Linked DNA regions of Lytechinus pictus. The protein of the gene in region 1 purifies or fractionates together with the protein of each later gene. This does not show direct contact. Links are inferred from orthologs where the notes say so. Each region holds a gene or a part of one and is shown in the gene's direction. Other genes may lie near its edges. The genes, in order: acidic fibroblast growth factor intracellular-binding protein B-like and C2 domain-containing protein 5-like.

What was found.
Region 2: the proteins of acidic fibroblast growth factor intracellular-binding protein B-like (region 1) and C2 domain-containing protein 5-like purify together in Homo sapiens (affinity purification with mass spectrometry; 3 studies listed by BioGRID and IntAct, counting the BioPlex papers as one, with this or other methods). This does not show direct contact. The link is inferred for Lytechinus pictus from reciprocal best matches to the Homo sapiens genes FIBP and C2CD5.

The regions. Positions count from the first base shown.
Region 1 is NC_087251.1:44,752,796-44,760,409, reverse strand, and holds the start of acidic fibroblast growth factor intracellular-binding protein B-like, read left to right. Parts: upstream 1-4,524; 5' UTR 4,525-4,689; coding exon 4,690-4,777; intron 4,778-5,392; coding exon 5,393-5,591; intron 5,592-6,071; coding exon 6,072-6,198; intron 6,199-6,843; coding exon 6,844-6,944; intron 6,945-7,383; coding exon 7,384-7,517; intron 7,518-7,614. Other genes in the region: NPC intracellular cholesterol transporter 2-like, read right to left, coding at 2,617-2,788. UniProt on the Homo sapiens protein: May be involved in mitogenic function of FGF1. May mediate with IER2 FGF-signaling in the establishment of laterality in the embryo.
Region 2 is NC_087261.1:20,637,965-20,645,859, reverse strand, and holds the start of C2 domain-containing protein 5-like, read left to right. Parts: upstream 1-4,788; 5' UTR 4,789-4,886; intron 4,887-7,895. UniProt on the Homo sapiens protein: Required for insulin-stimulated glucose transport and glucose transporter SLC2A4/GLUT4 translocation from intracellular glucose storage vesicle (GSV) to the plasma membrane (PM) in adipocytes.

The DNA.
Region 1 (7,614 bases):
TGGAGAGCCAACGCACAACGATGTACTTAAGCTATCAAATCAGAAAATCAGCTATAATAAATAATTGAATGATTTACAACTTACAAGTATTTTTTTAATAGATTCTAAGTGTTCAGACTGTACTGCACTGTAACGCTAACGATGCGAGCGCGCGCGATTAGTATGTAGACCAACAGTGTCCGCGATGCCAACGATGTGTATATTTTCGTAGTACGTATAGGCCAACACAGTCCGCGATGCTAGCGGTGCGTTGGTGTCCGTAGTACAGGCCAACACTGCCCGCGATGCCAACGATCTATATATATATCTGTGTGCATCTGTAGTATGTAGGCCGACATTGCCCGCGATGCCAACGATGTGTATATTTTCGTAGTACGTGTAGGCCAACACAGTCCGCGATGGTAGCGGTGTGTTGGTGTCTGTAGTCGGTACAGGCCAACACTGCCCTCGATGCCAACGATCTATATTCTGTAGTATGTAGACCAACAGTGTCCGCGATGCCAACGATGTGTATATTTCCGTAGTATGTGTAGACCAACATTGCCCGCGATGCCAACGATGTGTTGGTGTCTGTAGTACAGGCCAACATTGCCCTCGATGCCAACGATGCGATCATATCTGTAGTTGCCTATGTAAACCAACATTGCCCGCCATGGCAACGATGTGTTGGTGTCTGTAGTACATGCCAACAGTGCCCGCGATGCCAACGATGCGATCATATCTGTAGTTTCCTATGTAGACCAACATTGCCCGCGATGCCAACGATGTGTTGGTGTCTGTACTGTAGAGTACAGGCTAACATTGCCCTCGATGCCAACGATGTGAATGTATCTTTAGTAGGTATAGGCCAACAGCGCCCGCGATGCCAACGATGTGTTGGTGCCTGTAGTAGATGCCAACAGTGCCAACGATGCCAACAATGTAAATGTATCTTTAGTACGTATAGGCCAACAGCGCCGGCCAGGATGCCAACGATGTGTTGGTGTCTGTAGTATAGGCCAACCTTGCCCGCGATGCCAACGATGTGAATGTATCTTTTGTATGTATAGGCCAACAGCGCCCGCGATGCCAACGATGTGTTGGTGCCTGTAGTAGATGCCAACAGTGCCAACGATGCCAACAATGTAAATGTATCTTTAGTACGTATAGGCCAACAGCGCCGGCCAGGATGCCAACGATGTGTTGGTGTCTGTAGTACAGGCCAACCTTGCCATCGATGCCAACGATGTGAATGTATCTTTAGTAAGTATAGGCCAACTTTGCCGGCGATGCCAACGATGTGAACGTATGTTTAGTATGTATATACCAACAGCGCCCGCGATGCCAACGATGTGTTGGTGCCTGTAGTAGATGCCAACAGTGCCAACGATGTGAATGTATCTTACATAGGCCAACATTGCCGGCGATGCCAACGATGTGAATATGCCTGTTGTAGAGGCCAACATTGCCGGCGATGCCAACGATGTGAATATAACCCTAACCCTAACCCTAACCCTAACCCTAAACCCTAACCCTAACCCTAAACCCTAACCCTAACCCTAACCCTAACCCTAACCCTAAACCCTAACCCTAACCCTAACCCTAACCCTAACCCTAACCCTAACCCTAAACCCTAACCCTAACCCTAAACCCTAACCCTAACCCTAACCCTAACCCTAACCCTAACCCTAAACCCTAACCCTAACCCTAACCCTATACCCTAACCCTAATTGAATTCAATTCCCATTGAATTCAATTCCCATTGAATTCCTTCAATGGGAATTAAAACTTTATTTCATATTTTAATGAAGAAAAAATGAAAATATTTCATGTATAAAAAATACAAAAGAAATAGAGAGTGAATGACATCGATCACCTCACTAACCAGGATATGCATATATTAAACTGTTTTGTGAAACCATACTTTGAAACGCTTGCCAACGATGTTTTGAATGTTGCATTGCACGGTCACATCGTTGGTCGTTGGCTAGCGGCGCACCCAACGATGTATAGCAATAGCTAGTAGTAGTAGGTAATTTAAAAGAGTGTATTAATCTTGTACTATTGCACCTTCACATCGTGGGTCGTTGGTTAGCCAACGATGTTTTAAATGTTACATGGCACCGTCACATCGTTGGTTAGCGATGTTTTGAATATTGCACCGTCCGTACCGTCACAACGTGGGTCGTTGGCTAGCAGCGCACCCAACGATGTTTAATTATAGCTCTAGTAGTAGTCAAAGGGCAAAGGTCATTACGTATGGCCTGGATGCATTGCTCGTACGTACCGTCATACGTACGTACGTACGTAGTATAGTAGTAGTAGTAGTACCAGTAATGCATGTACGTATATAATAGTATGGATATATCTAGGCTATATACCATTGAATTAGTATTAGCTATAGGTCTTGACATCGTTGTGTTGGCTGACCAACGATTGGGTAGTGAGCAGTGTCGGGGTATTCTGCAGTTAAGCCGTCTTTTGTTTAAACATGTTAAAGGAATAACTTAAAAGTTTAGTTTAATAAAGTTCAACAAAAACAATTTTAACTTAGGCCTAGGCCTAGGTAGTTTTAACTAAGTTTGAATACTGTGAAGCCTACAAATACAATAGTACAAATGATGTAACGTTACTCACCTGTCGCTTTACTGCAATTGTGGAAAATAGGAGGACCGCCGAGCTTTTTTGAACTCGATTTTATCAAAGTTGCAGGTTCCAAATCATACATTGAAATGGTCCTGGATTCTGCTTTGGGAAGACAGAAAAAGGCAAATGCCATGCAAATAAACGTGAAGATTGTCTTGGTCATCGTGTGCGGATCGTCCTCAGCCTCAGGAAGTGAAGGAGAGAAAAAGTGGTGAAAAAGGAATTCACGAAAGTTACAAGAATTGATATTTCTCTCTGTAAAATAGTGTTAATACTTGTTGTTAATACAGATAGCCTCTCAAATCTTAGATGACTTTGGTGATCGCTGCATAAATGGGCCGCGCCGGTACATTTGTATACGCCGTAAACTTGCACGGCTATTCATGATCTCGTGACACTTGTGAATGAAATAACCAATCAATACCTGTATCGGTATATAAGGCCGCGCAAGACAGTAAAAATGAATAAATTGATTATAAAATAATTATATAACCAACAATTCCATTGAAAAAAAAATCGTGTATTGATATTTTCCGATGGATATGGGATGAGGGGGGGGGGGAACTGATAACGCCCTGTGCAGACCGCAAGACTTTTCTCAGAGTTTGGAACCGGCCTTCAGTTGTATGCAGGAAGGTGCACAGGTAGCGACCCCCCTTTTTTTTGCTTGTCATTTTTTTTGGATACGAAACGACCTCATATCTTTGATGGAAACCTTTTTTTTTTTTTTTTTTTGCTTGTCAACTTTTTATTCAGCTCATTAGCTCAACCCCCCCCCCTTTCAAAAATCCTGCGTACGCTACTGTCCCGTTTTATGGCAACAACATTGAGACCTAATTCATATCAGTTTTATTGTATATATATATATTCATTTTAATTGTACATTTGAAACTTAATATGGATCACTAAATATTTGAAGCTGGAAATAACATGCTGGAGTCCACTGTGATGCTGTGCTTGTAAATTGTGGCCCCCTCAAATCAAATTATTCATTAATATTCAATTACATAGTTTGAATAAGAGAGGAAGAAAAAAAGTGAAATAAACAACAACATAATGCGTGAAATGCATATTTTCTTTTTCATTGTACAAACCTTTTTTATTTACGATTTGAATTTCATTGATCAAAGATATACTTTGAGTCGGCGGATGAAAAGCTTTATATAATAGGAACAGGAGTTAATGTGTAATTCGTCTTCAAAAGATTTAATGACAGTTTATTGGTTCTTATCCATCCGAATTATACAACTCCCAATAATGTTCTGTAATCTGATTGGTCCAAACGGATCCGCGAAGTCATGATCCACATGGTCCAAACGGATCACATGATCTTCATCGAATTGCAATATGGCCATACCAAATCAAATAAAGGGAGGCCACCATGCACCCCCTCCGACAGGGGCCGCGGAAGGGGGGGGGGGGGCTTCAGCCCCCCACTTTTTCCAAAATCGTGTACAAAAAACGTAAAAATGACCATAGAATTCTGATTTTTTGCATGGTCAGCCCCTCTCCCACTCTGAAAACCGTTCCGCGGCCCCTGTCCGAAACTGGGAGTAGACAAAAGAATTAACAAGTGGGGATATGACATCATCAGCCCGATTAATGGAAATTCAATAACTTCGTTATTTGTTTATCCAATTTTGATCAAATTTTAAGCATTTTGTTTTGTGAATTTTACTCTATTTATTGAGATATAAATATCTCCAGCCTGGACCATCCCTTTAATAAACTCACTACTCAGCAAACCTGGGTGAATTCCTTATTTCCGTGGCCGGCAGAACCAGTAGAAATAGATTCTTTTTTAATTTGCCTTTTCATTGGTACCACTGCATAGTGAAGTGTATAAATTTTGTGGATATGTATTTTAGTACCGGGTAGCGAAGTGTTATTTTCAGCGTAGCTTGTACGGCATGCACGGTGCATGTCAATGCATATATATGCACGATTGTCCACCCGATTGTCCTGCCTTGTATTTGCAAAGTTGTATGCCGTCTCGATCTCCGTCGCCACCACTTCAATTACTTGGACAGCTATCAAGGGAAGCCGAAGGGAACAACAACGAAAATGTCGGAAACAATGGTCAACATCGTTGTTGGCAACATCACTATGGTTGATCCTGAAGTTTACAGATACTGGTTGGATGGTTATTCTGGTAAAAATTGTGTTGTTTTTGTTGCTGCTGTTGCCGTTTTTGACATGTGAATGTTGTTGATGATGATGATGACGATGATGTTGCATCGACAGTCAAGATTGAGATTGCTATTTATTGAAAAATCAATAGATATACCATAGACCCTATGGCTATGCTATAAAACTATGATGGTGATGATGATAATAAAAACAATAACATAACAATTATCAATATTGATAAATAATGATAAATAGGCCCTAATACTTTTTTCTCAATCTAGCTCTATCTAAGTAACGACAACGTTAGACCTGGCTAGTCTAGTAATTCTCGAAAATACATTGACATAAAATTTGGAAGTTTAAATTGATACTTCTCGATCGGCAACTTTTTTGTTAGAAGTTTACTATGAATCTATGATCATGCAATTAGACTAAATCCGACCATAATCGATTTTGTCAAAGTATGAAAATTGAATAGAAAATTAAAAAGGATTGTCGCCAATTTGAGAGCAATTAGAGATCAAGGGCTAGAGCAGATTAATCTCGACTTCATGAAAGGTGTGTAGACATCTACTTATGCTTATAAAATACAGGTTATCAAATTTCTGTTTGCTTCATCCTCTGTATTATTGCCTAGCTTATGAAGCAGCCAGGAGGAGACACCAGAAGGTCAATCGCGAGAAACCAGGCTACTCCTTTGAGATCATCAAGAACGATACAGACGACAACTACAGGGCCTTCATAGCCATGGAGAAGCACCTACAGAATCCACTATCTCTTGCCAATCAACCGTTATTTCAACTTCCTCCAGACATGCAAGGGTTCCTTATAGAAAAGTGAGTAGAAGGATCAAGGTCGGGCATGGGGGAGGGGAGGGGGGGGGAGGGGAGGGGGGGGGAGGGTAGGGGTAGTTGGTATGTCCAGACTTCTTTCTTTGTCTCTAGATTGAGAAAAAGATTTTCATTAAATAGGCAGGGTCTGTTATAAATATTTGTGATTTATATACTATTGACGATTGTCTAACATTATTTTCAAATGATTTTCAAATACTAATGAGTCTGCCCATAATGTCAAATTACTTTGGACGATAGAAACCTGTTCGACTTAGAAAATAACAATAATAAATAACACATCTGATTGTACTTTGACAAGTATTTGACTTCTTGTCTATCTGTATATTATTAAATGTAATTTGTTAATTACTTATTTCTTTGAATATTTTTCAAGAATGTATTATTTTTGTTATTTTATTTATGTATTTCATATTTTCAAAATAATTAATTGATGAATTGTTTATCTTTGACTCTTTTGGCTAGTTTCTATGAATTAGATTCCTCGGTTGCGAGGGAAATCCTTGGTAAGAAACTCTCTAGCAGGCACAGGAAGGACTTAGATGAGATCAGAGACAAGACCAATGTTGCTCTTAGAAGCTGCAGGAGACAGGTATAAATTATCCAATGTTTTTTTTTTTTTAGATCATAATAAGTAATGTGTTTTTGCGCTAAACTTAATACTCCTGATTATCTCTATTTTGCCATTTTTGGGTAGTGAAGAACATATTAACTTAATTAACTCGGTGCAGATGCTTGTTAGTATCAATAATTTTATCCTGCACAGATTAAAGTTAAGCTGATTGAGCACTCAAGAACATATTCCAGTCATTCGATAAATTGTGCATTTAACTCTTTCACATTGTGCATTGAATTCTTGAACATCTTTATGAAACTCTTACCACCCTGCCATCGATGCAATTTCTTTGTTTTCCTTTCAACACTCACATAAATTTCTTTTTGAACACAATCAAACTAGAGGTAATGTATATTGCAATGTCTAGAAGTACAGTATATATCTATTATCTAACCAAATCTATCGTGGCATAAGGGAAGGATTTGGGGAGCGAGAAATTACAATTTCAAAGTTTGTCCATTGGCAACTGAACATTCTTATTTGGACAGGATCCACTTGTATTATAATGATCACATTTTCAAATGATGGCACAATCTTAGGCTATGAATGTAGTGTACGACTTCTTAAATATGGTATTCATTTGTATGTTTCACTTTCTCTCGCCATCTTTCTAACATGCAGTATGATAATTTCAAAAGAGTTTTCAAGACGGTTGAGGATATGGAAGGCCCTATGGTGAAGAACATCCAAAATCATTTTCTCCTCTCGCAAGAGCTAGCCAAGTAAGTAACATGATGATTATTAGGTCATATATGTTCTTTCCCTGTCTAAGATGTATGTAGACAATGACAACTTGATAGTTTGTTACAATCAGCATTTAAGTTACCGGTACCTATTTTACTCCTGTTATTTGTATACTTCTGCACAATGAAGTTAGTTGCCAGATAAATATTTGTGTATGAGGATGTTTTTTTTTTTTGGGGGGGGGGATGGGTAGGAGTGGCTAAGACAAATCAGATGATGAATAGATTAGTATGAAATGTACTAAAGAAATCATAGCTGTGTACTATAGCTATATGAAAGTAGCTGCATAAAATGTATTCTACTTTGATAAAGTTACATATTGATCTTTTGTGATAGTTTAGAAAACTTTGTACTTTAAATGAGAGAATAGAAGCTGATGTATATCAAATGTGACTGAACTCATTTCTCCACTATCAGGAAGTACGCTGCCATCGTATTCTTTGCCAACAATCGGTTTGAGACTGGTAAGAAGCGTGTTCAGTACCTGACCTTCAACGACCTAGCCTACTGTGCTGATGAAATGATCAGCAGTTGGACTGCTGGTTCTGTGGGTATGTACTGTATTCACGATATTGATTCTTGTTGCATGATAATGCATATTTAGGTATTCTCAGAGCTGCCAGCCCGAACAAGAACATTTTGGTATGT
Region 2 (7,895 bases), on another chromosome or scaffold:
TGTCAAGATACCAATATTTAAAAATTCTGCTATAAATTGACATCTCAGGTGAAATATTTTTATAGAGAAAGCATATTGTATTTTATGTGGCTTCACCAATTTGAATGGGATCGTCATATTTTTTTTTTTTTTAGATTATGATTTGGTAATTTCAATTCAAAGGGTGCATAGATATAGGCAATTCTTTCTTTTTTATTAGAAGCTTTTAATATATCTACACAGGTTAGAATTGTTAATGATAAAAAAAAAATCCCAACTTGAAATAAAACATTCCTGTCCTCTTAATTAATGGAAAGTAGGTTTTGATTTTTTTCATATAGTTCAGTTTACTTTAATCAATTCAAATTGACATGACCATAAACCTGGTATTTATGGAAATCAGTTGTGATTACCTTAAATCAGTCATAACTTTGAGTGTGTGTGATGCATATTATATATGATGACTTTTGTCTCACCTGCATAGCAGAGTGAGACTATAGGCGCCGCTTTTCCGACGGCGACGGCGGCGGCGGCGGCGTCAACACCAAATCTTAACCTGAGGTTAAGTTTTTGAAATGACAGCATAACTTAGAAAGTATATGGACCTAGTTCATGAAACTTGGCCATATGGTTAATCAAGTATTACTGAACATCCTGCCTGAGTTTCATGTCACATGACCAAGGTCAAAGGTCATTTAGGGTCAATGAACTTAGACCATGTTGGGGGAATCAACATCAAAATCTTAACCTAAGGTTAAGTTTTTGAAATGTCATCATAAATTAGAAAATATATGGACCTAGTTCATGAAACTTATACATAAGGTTAATCAAGTATCACTGAACATCCTGCATGAGTTTCACGACACATGACCAAGGTCAAAGGTAATTTAGGGTCAATGAACTTTGGCCGAATTGGGGGTATCTGTTGAATTACCATCATAACTTTGACAGTTTATGGATCTGATTCATGAAACTTGGACATAATAGTAATCAAGTATTACTTAACATCCTGTGCAAGTTTCAGGTCACATGATCAAGGTCAAAGGTCATTTAGGGTCAATGAACTTTAGCCAAATTGGGGTATTTGTTGAATTACAGCCATAAATTTGAAAGTGTGTTGGTCTAGTTCATAAAACTTGGACATAAGAGTAATCAAGTATCACTGAACATCCTGTGCGAGTTTCAGGTCACATGATCAAGGTCAAAGGTCATGTAAGGTCAAAGAACTTTGGCCACGTTGGGGGTATTTTTTGAATTGCCATCATATCTCTATACATGTAAGTGTATTGGTCTAATTCATAAAACGTGGAAATACGAGTAACCAAGTATCACTGAACATCTTGTGCGAGTTATAGTAGTTTTCAAAATCAGCACTGCTGCTATATTGAATCGCGTGATGCAGGTGAGACGGCCAGAGGCATTCCACTTGTTTTTTGTAGAGCCCAAAATCATCATAGAATTATTTGCAAGTTTAATGTTTGATTTTTTTTTCCACAGCTCTCTCCATTGTTAAGTGTGAAAAATATATCTTTGTTGAAACTATAGTGTTGGATAATAATAAATAACGAGGAAAGCTGAGAAATTATATATTTTAGGATTATGAGAAAAGGGGGACCTTCTTTCACCTTGAGAGATTTCTGTACATGTATACAGATATTGTTTTCAGACGATAAAGTGGTTGTCATCATCGCCATAAATCTAATAAAAAAAAGGCTTTTGTTTAAATGTCAAAATTCTATTAATATTATTTTTAAGGTACAATATTTTAAAAGCCCACTGGTAGTATGCAAACGAGTTTTGTGTTATTTCCTTTTGTGTTTTTACAAAGAATAATATATTTTTAAGTACATTTATTTTGTCAAAGAACCTCAATTCTAATTTTTGTTTTAAATATTATTTGAAGACTTGGGGGAAAACGATTCAGAAAGATTCAGAATGGAGCCTAGGTTGTTATTTCCTCTCACACACCCCGTAACCTAACCTAGCATATCGTGAAATAGAATGATTAGCTTTGGTCAGCCAATTCCTAGCTGATATTGCAACTTAGAGTTGCAATTAAATGCTGATGCATACATGATATGCAATGCGTAATCTTATTGATCAATATGCAGCAATGCGCGTCCTCTTAGTCTTAGCATGATCTGACCAATACAGTGATGTCTTTTATACAGCACGCAACTCGGCATTTAAGTGCAATTCTAAGTCATACTTATTTGTGAAACACCCCCCGTTTATTTATATTGTATCAAATACTGTGCCATTCCAGGACCCTGTGTCACAAAATCTGACATCAATCACCAGTTAGATGCTCTTGTTTCAAGCTATGTTATTTCATTCGATTGGCCGATACGATAAATGTCAGTGATAGTCTTTTGAAATGTGATCCAACTTTGCCTGGAATATTCTTACTAATAGGGTTAATGTGTTAATTATGAACAAAGTTTTGATTTTATTGTTGTTTGCTGTTCGTGCTCTAGAAATACTTATGTGTATAGTATAAATACAATCATGTGATAATGTATTGCTCTCCAAAAAATGATATTTTATTATGTCCTTGTAAAAAATACACTATTCTTATATCAACTATTTATTATTAAGCATATAACAAAATTGATGTTAATGTTTTGTTTTTTCTTATTTTCTTAAGAACTGATTTTTCTATTTCACCTTGACTGCTGATGTAAATATTATTTGCATTTTCCTGTGTGTGAATGTCATCTGTATTAAATGTATCTAAAATTCTATTGTACATTAAACTTGATACCATACAATGCGTTTTTTGTCTTGCTTGTTTATGGATACTGGATCAATTGCTTAAGAATTCAGTTCATTTGTTTTCCATTAAAAACTGTAATAAAATAAATACATACAAAATTTACCAGCAATTGTAAGTAGCCCCCCCCCCCCTCCCCGAAAGCTTATACTACAATGACAGGGCCCTTTAGAAAAATAGCTACCAAACAAATTCTCATTTAATGAAAGCGCGAATCTAGTCAAAAGACAATATTATCTGCAAACTTACTGCATACAAGTAAACCCCATGCAGACCCAGAAGGAAAAACCAGTTCCACTGGACCAGTTAGACCAGTAGAATTTTAACTGGTAACTCTGGAAATTGGAACATCGGTTTACTGGTCTAACTGGTCATACTGGTCCAGTTAAAAATTAAACTGGTCTTGAATTACTGTAATTTTATACTGGTCTTTTTTCTGGTGGTTGTTACTGGTCTCACTGGTCTTCATACTGGTATCCAATTCAAGCTGGTCTTTACTGGTATTTTCTACTGGTCCTCGAACTGGTCGAACTGGTCCTCGTACTGGTCTTACTGGATCAATTTATTACATGCATTTGGTTTGTTATATACCATGGTCAGTGGAATGTGATGGAAAAGATGGTTAGTAAATTAATGTTTCTGCTGTTATTTTAAATGTGATATATGAAATTACACGTTTTCATTGTGGATTAGTTCACACACTTATTTGGAAAGTTTTTAAACAACAATGAGTGCCATTGCAAGGATATTCCATCCTAAATCCTGATTTTTCTTTTTAAAATAGGAAATATGCAAATGAGGTAAACCACGTGATCAGCATCATGCAGAATTACTGGTATTACTGGTCTTGACCAGTTCAATTTCAAACAATGAATTACTTTAGACCAGTTGACTATATCAGAGGAATATATCTTGCTTTGATCTTAATCATAATTAAAGGAAATAATTATTTTAATGATAATGTTAATACTTGAAAATTATGATAATGTTAATAATAATAATTACAATATCAATAACAACGATAACAGTAATAAGAATGATAACAACAATGATCATAATAATCATAATGATAATAATTATGATAATTATAAGAAGAATGATGATAACAATGATAACGATAATAACTTTCTCTGAATTGCAAGATTCATATTCCATAATTCGTCAAATGATCCGACTTGAAATAAAGTCATTATTTATTGGACCAGTAACACCAGTTTGATGAAAAAACAATTTAACTGGTATTACTACTTTGCTTCAACTGGAATGCAATTGTTTGAACTGGTCTCCAGTTGATTTTTACTGGTCCAGTAAAAATATACTGGAAACCAGTAAAATTCTACTGGAAACCAGTAAAAATTCTTACTGGTCTTACTGGTTTTTCCTTCTGGGGAACACTGCAAAATGTGAATGAAGAACACGAAAGGAGAGATCATGAGAGAGAGAGAAAAGTGAGTGAAAGAGAGAGGAGAGAGGGTTTTACCATGAATGAACTCTTTGTGCGCTGGACCATGAACCCATCTGTACTGAATGATTTTCAGGAGGGAAACAATGCATTGTTTGTTGAGTGTGAAATGCGAAGTTCGCACGGCACCGAGTGTGCATTGGTGCGAAGTACGCGTGGAAAGGGTTAACATTCGCTGATTTAGCTTAGCCAAGAAAAATTGAATGTGCTCCCTCTTTTTTTTTCATATTTGATCTTTGCACCCCCTATATCAGAATCATGAATTCAGCACTACTGCTATATATAGGCTTATAGTTAACTTTTTCATCCCAAGGTAGGTTTGAAATCTCAATTTTTTAATAATAGAATTTGTAACCAGAAAAATGAATTATATTTTTGTATGCGTATGATATAGGTATGTTTAATAGTCTGCCGACCATAGCTGAGATAAATTGGAAATGAATTAATTCATGCATTATTAATTCAGGCTGGAAGGGTTTTAAGCAAGCAAATGAAAATGGTGTTGGCCCTCTCGGTTTTTTTTTTCCTGGAAGATGCGATATTCCTTGTTGAAACGATTATTTTTTTCCTTTGTGATTTTGTCAAGAAATGTTACCGTACAAGCTTGTGCCAAGGAATGTCTCTGTGAAAGTGTCCTTGATTTTCGTCATTTTAATAATTTAGAAACTGATTGTAAGTATTTTTTTGTTTTTATAGTTTGCATATTTAATCATCAGATCTTTTTAAGTAGAATTTAAAGTTTGCAGATTTTTGTTTGTCTCACATTTCTGAGCCGACTAGCTCACTAAAACACTAGCTCATGAGCTGCAGCGGCCTGGCCTGGGTCTGGGACAGTCTGACTCAACGATGCCGCAAACATGAGCTCCCCCAGCGCATCGGCGGATTCTTCGCGCTATCCGCTGCGGAGCGATAATCTGCTGGGCCGTGCCGGGGCCAGTTTATTAACACCGGCGTCCATAATCATCATGACCATGGTTACTTCTTCTTCTTCTTCTGGAAACAGAACAGGCCACCGTCTCATGTACAGGAAAATTGAACTTTGAAGGCACGGCGCATGCAAAATTGCAACAAACTCCCGCAAATTTCATAAGACTAGGCACTTCAGGTGAAAATTAGGAAAGGCTGCCGGCTGTTCCACTTCCAGCATATTTGATGGGCTCACAATGTCAATGAGGCTCAATATCTACAAAACTGTTTGAATTGTCAAATTCCGATATCTAGAAGTCGAGTTATTGTCATCTTTGTGATGAAAAAACAGGCCTTTTTGTGGACAAAAGAAGATTGCGAAATCTTATTATTCTCTTTGTTTTGGGCATGGCACATTTATAATACATAACATAGCTTATGGGGAATTGTACAAGCTTTTTATTTAAATCTTAAAGTACTCAGATTGATTTGACATATTGGCATATGATTTCTTTGGTTCAAGGGCAACTACCCCTGGACGATAACCCCCCACCCCCACCCACCCTGGACAATTCCCCCCCCCCCCCCCGGACAACTACACTGTACCCCTATCCAAAAATCTACACCTAACCTAACCCTATTTCGGGGGTAATTGCCCTGTGGTAGGTTTGTGCACAGGGTAAACATGACTTGATATTGATTTTCTTTGCTTGAACATTAGAAATTAAGTTTTCAATGAATATAATTTGTAATCAAAGAAAGAGAATTAAAATAATAATCTTAGGATTTGTAGAAAAAAATAAAAACAGATTGATTTCAATTGTCTATTATCTCATTATTGTCTTGTTATTATGGTCTCAATAAAATTGTTGATTTTATTATTGTCTCATCATCGTTTCATTATTGTCCCAATTAGAATTATGATTATAATAATTATTATTATGATAATTATTTTTGTTTCATTAATATTATTTTCTAAATAATTATTACAATTATAATTACTATCATAGTAATTATTGTTATAATTATTTCATAATAATAATTATTATTGAAATAATAATTATAAGGCCTATAATTATAATTATGATTATTTTTATGATTATAATTATAATTATAATAATTTTTATAATAATAATAATTATTGATGACTTATCAATATTACTGTCTCAGTAATTATTACAAGTACAATTACTTTCATTATAATTGTTATCATTATAATTATTTTATAATTATTATTATTGTAATAATAGTTATTTGTCTCAATAATTATAAGGCCTTTAATTATAATTATGATTATTTTTATAATCATAATAATTTTTATAATAATAATTATTGACCTTTCAATATTACTGTCTCAGTAATTATTAAAATTATAATTACTTTCATTATAATTGTTATCATTATAATTATTTTATAATAATTAGTATTATTGTAATAATAGTTATTATTGTCTCATTAATTATAAGGCCTATAATTATAATTACTATAATTGTAATTGTTTCTACAATTATATTTATTTTAATTATAAACATTATTATTATAATGATTATTATTGATATCTCATTAATATTAATATCTCAGTAATTATTACAATTCAAAGTACATCATTATAATTGTTATTACAATTATTTTGTTATAATAATGATTACTGTAATAATTATTATTGTCAATAAATACTAGAATTGATGTCTCAATTATTACAATTATAATTATTATCATTATAATTATAATTGTTATCATTATAATCATAATAATTATAATTGTCTCAATGTTTATTGTCTCATATTATTAATGTCTCATCATCACTGTTAATTGCCTCATTATTGTCTTCTCTTACTTTTTCATAATATCTTCAAATTAATAATTAACACCATAACAAAGGTCCATAAATCAGATATCAAATTCATGAAACACATCTCATGTATGTAAACCTATTTCTAAATTAAATTCATGCAAGGAGCTTTCTGTGCCATTCAAAAATACGACTTTCATTAACAATACCATATTCTAGACATTCAGACGCATTCCAACAAAAAATCACATATCAAACAAAATTCTTGAAGTTTACTTGCAGTTTTGCTCTTAATACTTATTTCACACGAATTCTACAAAATTATTTTCAAAATAACAATTTGATTTTCATAATTAACACAGCTCAAATCGTAATTTAAAAAAAAATATACAACGGCTGAAACATACTGTGTCTGAATACCAAGACTAATCTCAGGCCCAACGCAGTGGGGATGACGTCACTCACAGCTGTTCGTATACGCTCAAAACAACCCTGCTCGATCGGCCGAGTCAGATTCACAAACACCTCATGACACTCAAAACTGAAGCTCATATTCGCAAACTCTCTACGGACCAAATTTGATTAGAATTTCACAAAATGTTCTCAAATATACAATTTTATTACTGACCGAGTTTACAAGGGATCCGATGATTACAAGAAGGTGATTTCAAGCAAAGAAAAATAAATACCTGAATATTAGGTCCTTCCCTCGCATGAAGGTAAGTTAGACTCCGTCTTGTATATTTCCGATGTTTACCGAAGATGTACGAAGCAACCGCGGGAATTTTTGACCAATCAAAATCAGCGGAATAAAGGAAGAAACTGACTCTGTCTTTTCGAGCAATGCCGAATGCAACTCCAGCGCTCGGCCAAAGTGCCGAGCGGAGCGAACTGTGTGTGTTAGATAGGCGCTCGCCATTCACTGCAATGCAAAAATCTACGTGTAGCGCTGTGTCCGCGCGATCGCCCGCCCGACTGAAGTG